2 linked regions of the Coturnix japonica genome follow. The protein of the gene in region 1 purifies or fractionates together with the protein of each later gene. This does not show direct contact. Links are inferred from orthologs where the notes say so. Each region holds a gene or a part of one and is shown on either strand. Other genes may lie near its edges. The genes, in order: STYK1 and TMEM259.

Evidence for each region.
Region 2: the proteins of STYK1 (region 1) and TMEM259 purify together in Homo sapiens (affinity purification with mass spectrometry; 3 studies listed by BioGRID and IntAct, with this or other methods). This does not show direct contact. The link is inferred for Coturnix japonica from reciprocal best matches to the Homo sapiens genes STYK1 and TMEM259.

What each region holds. Positions count from the first base shown.
Region 1 is NC_029516.1:70,357,268-70,361,749, reverse strand, and holds the start of STYK1 (tyrosine-protein kinase STYK1), read right to left. Parts: upstream 2,846-4,482; 5' UTR 2,744-2,845; intron 1-2,743. UniProt on the Homo sapiens protein: Probable tyrosine protein-kinase, which has strong transforming capabilities on a variety of cell lines. When overexpressed, it can also induce tumor cell invasion as well as metastasis in distant organs.
Region 2 is NC_029543.1:1,976,593-1,981,119, reverse strand, and holds the start of TMEM259 (membralin), read left to right. Parts: upstream 1-1,469; 5' UTR 1,470-1,732; coding exon 1,733-1,954; intron 1,955-4,306; coding exon 4,307-4,527. Other genes in the region: phospholipid-transporting ATPase ABCA7, read left to right, coding at 1-23, 92-184, 259-502, 580-738. UniProt on the Homo sapiens protein: May have a role in the ERAD pathway required for clearance of misfolded proteins in the endoplasmic reticulum (ER). Promotes survival of motor neurons, probably by protecting against ER stress.

The sequences.
Region 1 (4,482 bases):
CTGGTATTTACTGTAAAAGTGTGCAAAATGGAGAATACTGGGACTGTGTCTCTTCACTGCATGATCTCTACGTAAGCCGGTAGAACAGTAATTACAAATAGTTCAGTGATGTGGAGTTTTGTCCCTGAAAAACCAGAAGAGAAATCCCCTAGATTGTGCAAACCAACCTGTGGCCCTTATTCTGCATGTGGCCCAGTACAGCTCACAATGAAGTTCGCTCCCTGCCCCATACCATCATGGTGGTGGCTCTGCCCCACCAAGAGGTCTGGCCTGGCCCTGGGTGTGCACCCATCCCTTAGCAAACAACCAAACAATTCATAGAATCATAGAATCACCAAGGTTGGAAAAGACCTAAAAGATCATCCAGTCCAACCATTCATCTATTACCAATAGCTCCCACTAAACCGTGTCCCTCAACAAAATGGTCTCTGTTGTTATATGTTTTATATACTGTCCAAGATAATTCCTCTTCACACAGTGCAGCCCAAGCATGTCAGGAAGATGGACACCCATGTTCCAGACTGAGCATTTACTTCAGTTGCAAAGATTGTTACAGCTGCAAACTTTAAGCTCAGGCTCTGGTTTCTGTCATTGTTTTATGCTGGTGCTAACTTTCATTGACTCTCAGTGTTATTCTTTCCATGAGGATGCACAGGATCTGTCCTTTAACTCATTCCTGCTTAATACATGGATACACTGAAAACAACATTTTCTCTTTTACCTGTGTTATTTACTGAAATATTTTGCTTTCCACACGCTCCTTTTGTAAGGGCAGCTGGGGGAACCTCTTCAGAGGAACCTGATTCCTATTTAGGGATTAGGGTTTAAAAATACAATAACTGATAGTCTTCCTCCTTTCACTCCTTCTTCCTCAGTTTTCTAAATACCCTTTTTGCGGGGGGAAGGGGGGAAAAATGCAAGGGGTTAATATTCAAGGCATGCATAAGCAAAAGCAGCAATCCCCACTGCTTTTTGTTTCCTTAGTTAATCTTTCTGCTGTGCTCCCAGTCAGACTGGTCGGAGAAGATATTTAAACAGTTCAGAGTTCAGGTCTCAGACCAGTGTTCCTCACTGGTCCATAAACCCTTCCTCCTGTTCGGCTAAGGGACAGCACACATTTATTGTCACGTTTCATCTCGTTAAAAGCAAACTTCTGCTACAAGTTATTTATTCTGTCTGTGCGCATCCACAGGGAGAACACTGCCTGTTTAAATGTTTGTGTTCCTCTTGCTATTTTTCCTTATGCAAGTATGATAAGGCGCACTGAAATTGGTGGAGCGGCGGTTCCGTTAACACAAGTGTCCTCTTTATCTCCGAGACATCTACAGCATATGAAGCAACCATTCAAACCACATACACAACTGCTCAGTAATCTCTACAGTGCACTTTAGAGACTGACAGCAAACGCAGCCACAAACCATTCAGTCTTTTTCTTGTGTGAAGAGACTGTTAAAACCACAGGGCTAATCTTGTGGCTGAAAAGTCACAAAAATCAGCAAACTCCAAGTAACTGCCCAGAAAACAAGTTTCTTCTGAAAGGATCTCCTCTTTGGCATCCCAAAATCAGTACTTATCCACAGTTAGCCCATGGAGTTCTTCCCAGGACTCCAAGGGCAATAGGGCAACTGATAGACTGGAAAGTAGGTGCAGCACATATCACTTGCATTTCCATTAGCTTTGTGTAGTTTCCGGGTGTCATTGACCTTAGCAACTGGGTTCCTGAGCACATTATGTATGCATATTCTTCTGTTAATTTGACCTTTCCTCTTTCCATTTTGTTCATTCTGTTAAACATACAAACTTTCCTCTTAAGTTCCTGGGTTTTGCCACTCCATTTTTTCACATAGTTCACATTTCCAAGTGAGAATACAACAGTTCTTGCTGACAAAACTTAGAAGCTGTTGAACATACTTAAGCACCCTGTGTAAGTATTGAATAAATTGCACCACTTCACACAAAAAGAAGTAGAGGAGCCATCTCTCCTCCAGGAAGGTTGCCCACAGAGACCTTACTAGAACTAGGAAGTACATATCACAATATATCACATAGCAGTTTCAAACAAGGGGTCCATTAATGAGCACTGTGCCTCAGACAGCTGGCCATGGGACTTCTTAGGGAAACTAAAGCTCAAAACAACATAAAATGGTATTTCTCACAATGCTTTCCATTGCCTCCAGCAACCCGTGATACAAGAATTTATTTAGCCAAGTATTATCTTTTCTTTCATCTGTTTTGAAAGATTTTGCCTACTTTCAACACCCTGCACAATTTTAGCAACACGGTACTTCATGGTAAATTCCACAGTTTTCATGTAACTTGGTATGTTTATTCTTTGCATAAGGGTGGAGTGCAATATTCAAACTAGCTACTTATTGTGCACAGCTGGCAGTGAAATGAGCGATGGCTACAAGAGATGAGTAAAAGTTTCACACATAATTAAAATATTAATATATTCAATTATTTAAAAGCAAGAGGAGTTTGATGTTTGGATACTAGAAGAAACAGATTGTAAGGTTTGGATAGGAATAAAGAATAGGACACAATCAGGGGTGTGACCCATTCAAAGGGCCGTGATCCTCAGTCTCCTATATACCACTTAAAGCCTATTATCAACAACTTGGACAAACGTTGTGTCTTGTTTCTCAGCCATCATAGAATTTCCTGCCCTTCTTTGCTTAGCCCTGCAAACACCTTCTCCAATAACTGTTTATAAAGACAAAAATCATGAAGACGGCAGGTGTACCTCTGTAGGAAAGAAAGCAGATGCAGCCAACTTCGAGAGTTCGTGCTTGAGGCATCACTTGGCTCTTATCTTCAGATCTCTCACAACAACAGCTCGGGGTACCTGGTGGGTAAAGGACGCCAGCATCAAAGGGTGTCGCGGTGTAGGGCCGTGGGAACTGGGGAACCGCAGACAGGTAAGGGGGGCATTACCTTCTGCTCTCCGACCTCCGGGAGTACTTATGTTTTGTGGCAGGCCGGGGACGAGGCAGCACGCAGCAGGCAGAGGGCCAGGCCTTCACAGGAGGCCATGGCCGGGGAGCAGCGCGGCAGGGGCCCGCTGAGGTGCCCGCTCTGCCGCAGCCCAGGGCCGGCCGCGACCGCGCTGGAAGGAAGGAAGGCTGGGCGGACACGACAGTGCTAGAACCAGCAAGCACCCTCCTGTCGCGGCTCCGGGGCACAGCTGTCCGGCTGCACCGCCACTTCCAGCCCCCTGTCCTTCCCCTTCTTTTCCTCACGGCCGCCTAACTGTTTGTCCAAGCGTTTCCTTGTCGTGAAACAGAAGATTAACCGAGGTGGGGAGTTCGAGGGCAGAGCAAGCACGAGCGTACAGGGAAGAACGTTTTCTCGTGTCACGCTCCCGCCCGTCCCTGTTGTTAGAATTAGGAGGAGGGAGCCGCGCTATATACGCGAGCTCGGAGGGTTGGGGTTGAGCCGTGGGGTCTGTTAGGCGTGTCGGTTGCGGCCTGGCACAGGGCGAGGCGGTACGGGCTGCCAGGGCGGGGAGGAGTCTAAAGGATCCTGACGGGGTTCCTCACGGACACTTGGGACTCGGGATGGGGTGGTAAAGGTGCAGGGATCACCAGCTCTCTGCCTTCTGTCCGGGCATCGCGGCGGAGTGAGGTTGCCCTGCAGTCACTGTGGTGGGTGACAGTCTGGATGAAATCGGGACTGTGGCCGCTTTTTTAAGACCCTTGGCATCCCTGCTTTGTCGGCACATAGTTATTTAGTAAGACTTAAATGCCTGGTGAGACCTCTGAACACGAAGCACCCTGATGGAGCTTTAAATCCATTATAACTCGTTGCGTTCCTTCCACACTTCCACACAATAAAAAACTGAAAATGGATACCCTCTGATAGCGCTTGAGCAATGACATATATTTAAGATAAAACAAACAAAAACGTTGCCTACTGCATGGCGTAATTACCACAGTGAAACTCTATCCATAGTGTCATCCCACCCCTTGTTTTCAGAGAAGGAAATAAAAGCAAGGCTGTATGTCTCATGTTTGGACAATATCAAGGTTCAGAAACTCACTGATGAGCTTGAGTCTACCTGTTTTTGCTTCCTGCACATTTAAGCTGAGGTTGCTCCTACAACTTAGCTGGGTATATAGTTACAGAATTTAGTATGTGCAGTTATCTGGTGTGCGTGTGAAATACTGGATGTAAATGGGGATTTTACAGCTCACTTTGGAAAACGGGGACTGGTCTGTGTCAGGATATTTGAGAGAGAGGCTGTAGCAGAATAATAGATAGAACTGTCTAATGATTGGTTTAGTGGGAGCTATTAGTAATGGGTGAATGGTTGGACTGGGTGATCTTTTAGGTCTTTTCCAACCTTGGTGATTCTATGATTCTATGATTCTATGATTCTATGAACTCTTTGATACAGATACTAAAATCATTAATTGGCACAAATACAGCCAATTAATTGAGTGTAATTCCCTCTGAATCACTGAAAATGATTTCAAAATGGAT
Region 2 (4,527 bases), on another chromosome or scaffold:
TCCGTGCTGCTCACATCGCACAGGTGGGTTCCCAGCACAGGGGATACCTGTGGTCCCTGCTGTGTGTATCACACCTTCCCCCCTCCGGCAGCATGGAGGAGTGCGAGGCGCTGTGCACCAGGATGGCCATCATGGTCAACGGCCGATTCCGCTGCCTGGGCAGCGTTCAGCACCTCAAGAACCGGTAATGGGTGGGGGGCTGCCCTGCTGGGTGGGTGAGAAGGGGCTGCCTGCATTGCCGTCCATTCCTTGGTGCAGGTTTGGGGATGGGTACACGGTGGTGGTGCGGGCTGCGGGGCCCGGCCCTGCTTTGTGTACAGTGCAGCAGCTGATGCAGCGCAGCTTCCCCGGCATCGCGCTGCAGGAGCAGCACGGCAGCACGCTGCAGTACCGCCTGCCTTCCAATGCCTGCTCCTTGGCTCAAGTGTTCGGAGTGTTGGCAGCGCACTGCGGGCACGGCCACATCCAGGATTACTCTGTGTCACAGACCACCCTAGACCAGGTGATGGCGGTGGGGGGGCACGGTGTATGGGGTCCTTCGTGCTGTTGCTGCTGCTCACCCCCTCCCCATCCTTGCAGGTCTTTGTGCACTTTGCCAGGGAGCAGAACGACGGGGACCAGGTACAGGACATGGGATCAGGGCAGGATGCAACAGCAGGGCAGGATATGGCCCCAGTGGTCGGGAGGACGCCGTTACCGTTCCTGGAGGACGACAGCTATAGGGAGAGCGTGGTCTGAGTGTGGCTGAAAGCCCCCTGGACCCCCCCCACCAGCCCCAGCCCTGCTCCCGGCTGGTTCACAGCCACTGGTCCCGGTCTGCCGCTGGCCTGGAGCCCGGCTGCAGCACGCTGCTGGTTTGGGGTCACGATGTCCCGGCTCGGAACCGCAGGGGAAGGCTGGTCCGCTCCCTACAGCGGGGCTGAGTGTCGGGCTGTGCTGCTCGCTCTGAACGCGATAATAAAGCGCTGCAGTGCCGCGGGCGGAGCGCCGTGCTTTGTGGCTGTGACAAAACGGGGCCGGGGGGGTGGAGGGGGAGTAAAAAATAGAGCTGGGGAGCAGCACTGAGGGGTGTCGGTGTGCAGTAAAAAATATGGAACGCTTCACGAATTTGCGTGTCATCCTTGCGCAGGGGCCATGCTAATCTTCTCTGTATCGTTCCAATTTTAGTATATGTGCTGCCGAAGCGAGCACGACTCCCTATTCCCATCGTCGGCTATATAAACCCCTTTTATCTAATAACTTTAAAGTAATGGTGAGCTGAACTTTTATATGTCTGTGTACTTCTTCTTTTGGTATTACCCCTTTAATAAAAGCTCTTACTTATTCCGCTCAGGCTCCTTTTTTGCAGGAATTTGTCTTTTTTTGGGCAGAACCGTCTAAATTTTTTGCCGAGCGCGCGCGATGCACGGCGGGATGATTCCTATTTTACATATAGGGCGGGCTTCCTTCTTCCGGCCATCCCACAATTCCTTGCGGCGCTGCGTTACGTCGGCGCTGTGCGTGCCGCAAGATGGCGGCGGGGCGGTGCGGGGCGGACGGGGCCTAGTGAGGAAGAGGAGGAGGAGGAGGAAGAAGAACCGCCACCCTCCGGGCCGCCCATGGCCTCGGAGCCGCCTCAGGAGCCTCGTCCCATCCGAGCAGCACCGCTACGAGACCGTTCTAAGGGCTGCTGAGAGCTGCAGCCCTGTTGTGTGGCTGTGGGTTGAGACCAGGCCTGTGTGTAGGCCCCACCATGTCCGAAGCTCAGCCCCATGGGCAGCACCCCCAGCCCAACCACACCGGGGCCGCTGGGGGAACCAATAGGGCCGGGAGGAACGCGGCCCTCAATCAAAACCCGTTAATTAACGTCCGAGACCGGCTGTTCCACGCGCTGTTCTTCAAGATGGCAGTGACCTACGCGAGGCTTTTCCCTCCTTCCTTCCGTCGGGTCTTCGAGTTCTTCGTGCTGCTCAAGGTGAGGCCAGCAGAACCTCTGTGTGCTCATCACACACGGCTGTGCTTATGGGGTTCTATTCCCTTTAGATACAGTCGGTGCACAGCTCTGTTTTATCTCTGCTTCTTCATAATCAACGCCCTCAGCTGTGTGCCAGGTGTCCTCCCTCTAAGGTGAAGCCTGTTTGTGTTTTTGCTGATGTAATTTGATGGGACAGAGTGGCAAAGCTGAATTCTGCAGGGTCTGGAAGTTACAGCCTCCCCTATAGGAATCTGACTGCAGTATCCTGGTGCTGTGTGAGCTCAAGTGTTGCCCTGTGGCTTCCAGAGCTCATTGTGCCTCTCTGGGAATAAGAGAGGGACACAAAGGAAAGGCAACTAGGTAACACAGGGTCTGGAAGTTACAGCCTCCCCTATGGGAATCAGGCTGTAGAATGCAGGGCAGCCTGGTGCTGTGTGAGGTGAGGTGTTGCCCTGTGGCTTCCAGAGCTCATTGTGTCCCTCTGTACCTATGGAAATAAGAGAGGGACACAAAGGAAAGGCAACTAGGTAACACAGAGTCTGGAAGTTACAGCCTGCCCTATGGGAATCAGGCTGTAGAATGCAGGGCAGCCTGGTGCTGTGTGAGGTCAAGTGTCTCCCAGAGCTCATTGTGTCCCTCAGTGCCTCTGGGAATAAGAGAGGGACACAAAGGCAACTAGGTAACAACACGATTCTTGTTCTATGGGGCTCTAAAATCCAGCCTCTGTATTGTACGTGGGCACTCTATTCTCCCTGCCCAATTCAGGTTTTGTCACGCCAGGAGAAATTCCTGCTGCCACCTGCTTTTAATTGAAGCACATTGAGGAAATTAAAGTATTCCCAGAGGAGATCTTTGCTTCTGCCCTTAGGGTGAGCAGGCAGCTGTGCTTTCAGCCTGCTTGTGGCTCTGTGTGAGGATAGTGGTGGGAGGCCAAGCCTGAAGCCACGCTGTGCTTGGCATTCTGGTGCTGCTCCTGGCTGCTTTCATCACCGTTCCCCTTGCACCAGGGATCTGTTTTGGGATTACCTTCCTCATTGTTTTCCTATGCAGCTCATTGCAGATGTGCTGTTACCAGCCTGTTTATTCATAACATATAGGTCAGAGTGCATGGCAAAGACAGGTACTGTAATCAAGAAGAGGCATCTTAATGCAGTTTAAAAGTGAATGCATGAAATGCAACTGTGCTGCTTACAGCTGTTCTTTGGAGCTTGAACTTTGGCCAGTGTTGGATAACTCCATTCTAGGAAACGGGTTTTATTAGTTCACTTTGTTTTGCTGTGACTTGGAGCTGAAAGCATCTTTCAATTAGGAATGAATTTGCTCCAGCCTGAAAGGTCTTTATAATGGAGCTCCCGTTGCTCATTGGTAGGCTGCATGCTTTTAAAGCAAGCCATTTTGTTCTGATAATAACACTCCTTTGCATCCCAACTCCTGGTGTTGGTTCTTGCTGCTGCCTTGGGTGTGTTTGTGTGGCTGGTACTTTAATGCTGAAACCCCATAGCCCAGAGCGTGGCTCTGTCCTGTTGGATGTGCCACAAACCCATATAGTCCTCTGCAGCCTTTTATTTTGAATACAGCAATGTTAATTCCATCATTAACATCTGGCTGAGAGCAGAAATCAAACACAGATTGATCTGAGTGTTTTACGACCTCTCTGAATAAGCTCGGGTGGCCTTTCCTGGTGGTTGGGTTGTGTTGGCAGCGGATCAGTTGACAAAAACCCATCTGTGGATTGGCAGTTTTCTTCCAGGCAATGCTTTGAAATGAGGGAGAATTCAGTAGGGACTGAGTGGCAGTTGACCTGCTCTGTAGCTGTGCTGAATGCTGCTGGAGCTTGGAAGGAAATGCTGTGCCCTTATGCACACAGAGGCAAGGCAGGAGGCACTTTGCACGTGGTTTTGTGCAAGTCAGCACTTCTTTGACCCTAGGCAGTGTATGTATTAACATGGCAGTGTGCCTCCTGGGTGGCAGCCAGCTGCACTCAGCCCCAGCACGGTGTGTTAATGGAGGAGTTTTGGTCAAAGGCACTTTGGGAGCTCTCATTCCCAGGAAAAGCTTTAGGGCTCTTAGTGTTTAACCTCAGAAAGACGAGGTTTCAGCAGGTTAGCGAGGTGTCAGAAGGACAAAGTACAAAGGGAGTGTTATATAAGCACTGGAGCTGGAAGAAAAGTTGATTTGGGGGCTGTTCTGCTGTTTGATGCAAATACAGTTAGGGTTAGAAAGCTTAAAGGCTCTCATCCACCTGCAGCTGTAGTATCTGCATGAAGAAGGGATGGCTGAAACTGGGCAGCCTATCGACGGGCAATGTTTGGTTGGGCTGACAATCTCTGCTTTGTTTCTTGCTGTTTGTAGGCTCTCTTTGTGCTCTTCATCCTGGCGTACATTCACATCGCCTTCTCCCGTTCACCCATCAACTGTTTGGAGCATGTGAGGGACAAATGGCCGCGTGATGGCATCCTGAGGGTGGAAATCCAGCGCAACTCCAGCCGGGCCCCCATCTTCCTGCAGTTCTGTGGTGCTGAGAAGTTCCCAGGAATGGTAGTTGAGCCCACGGCTGAGGAGGAGGAGGAGGA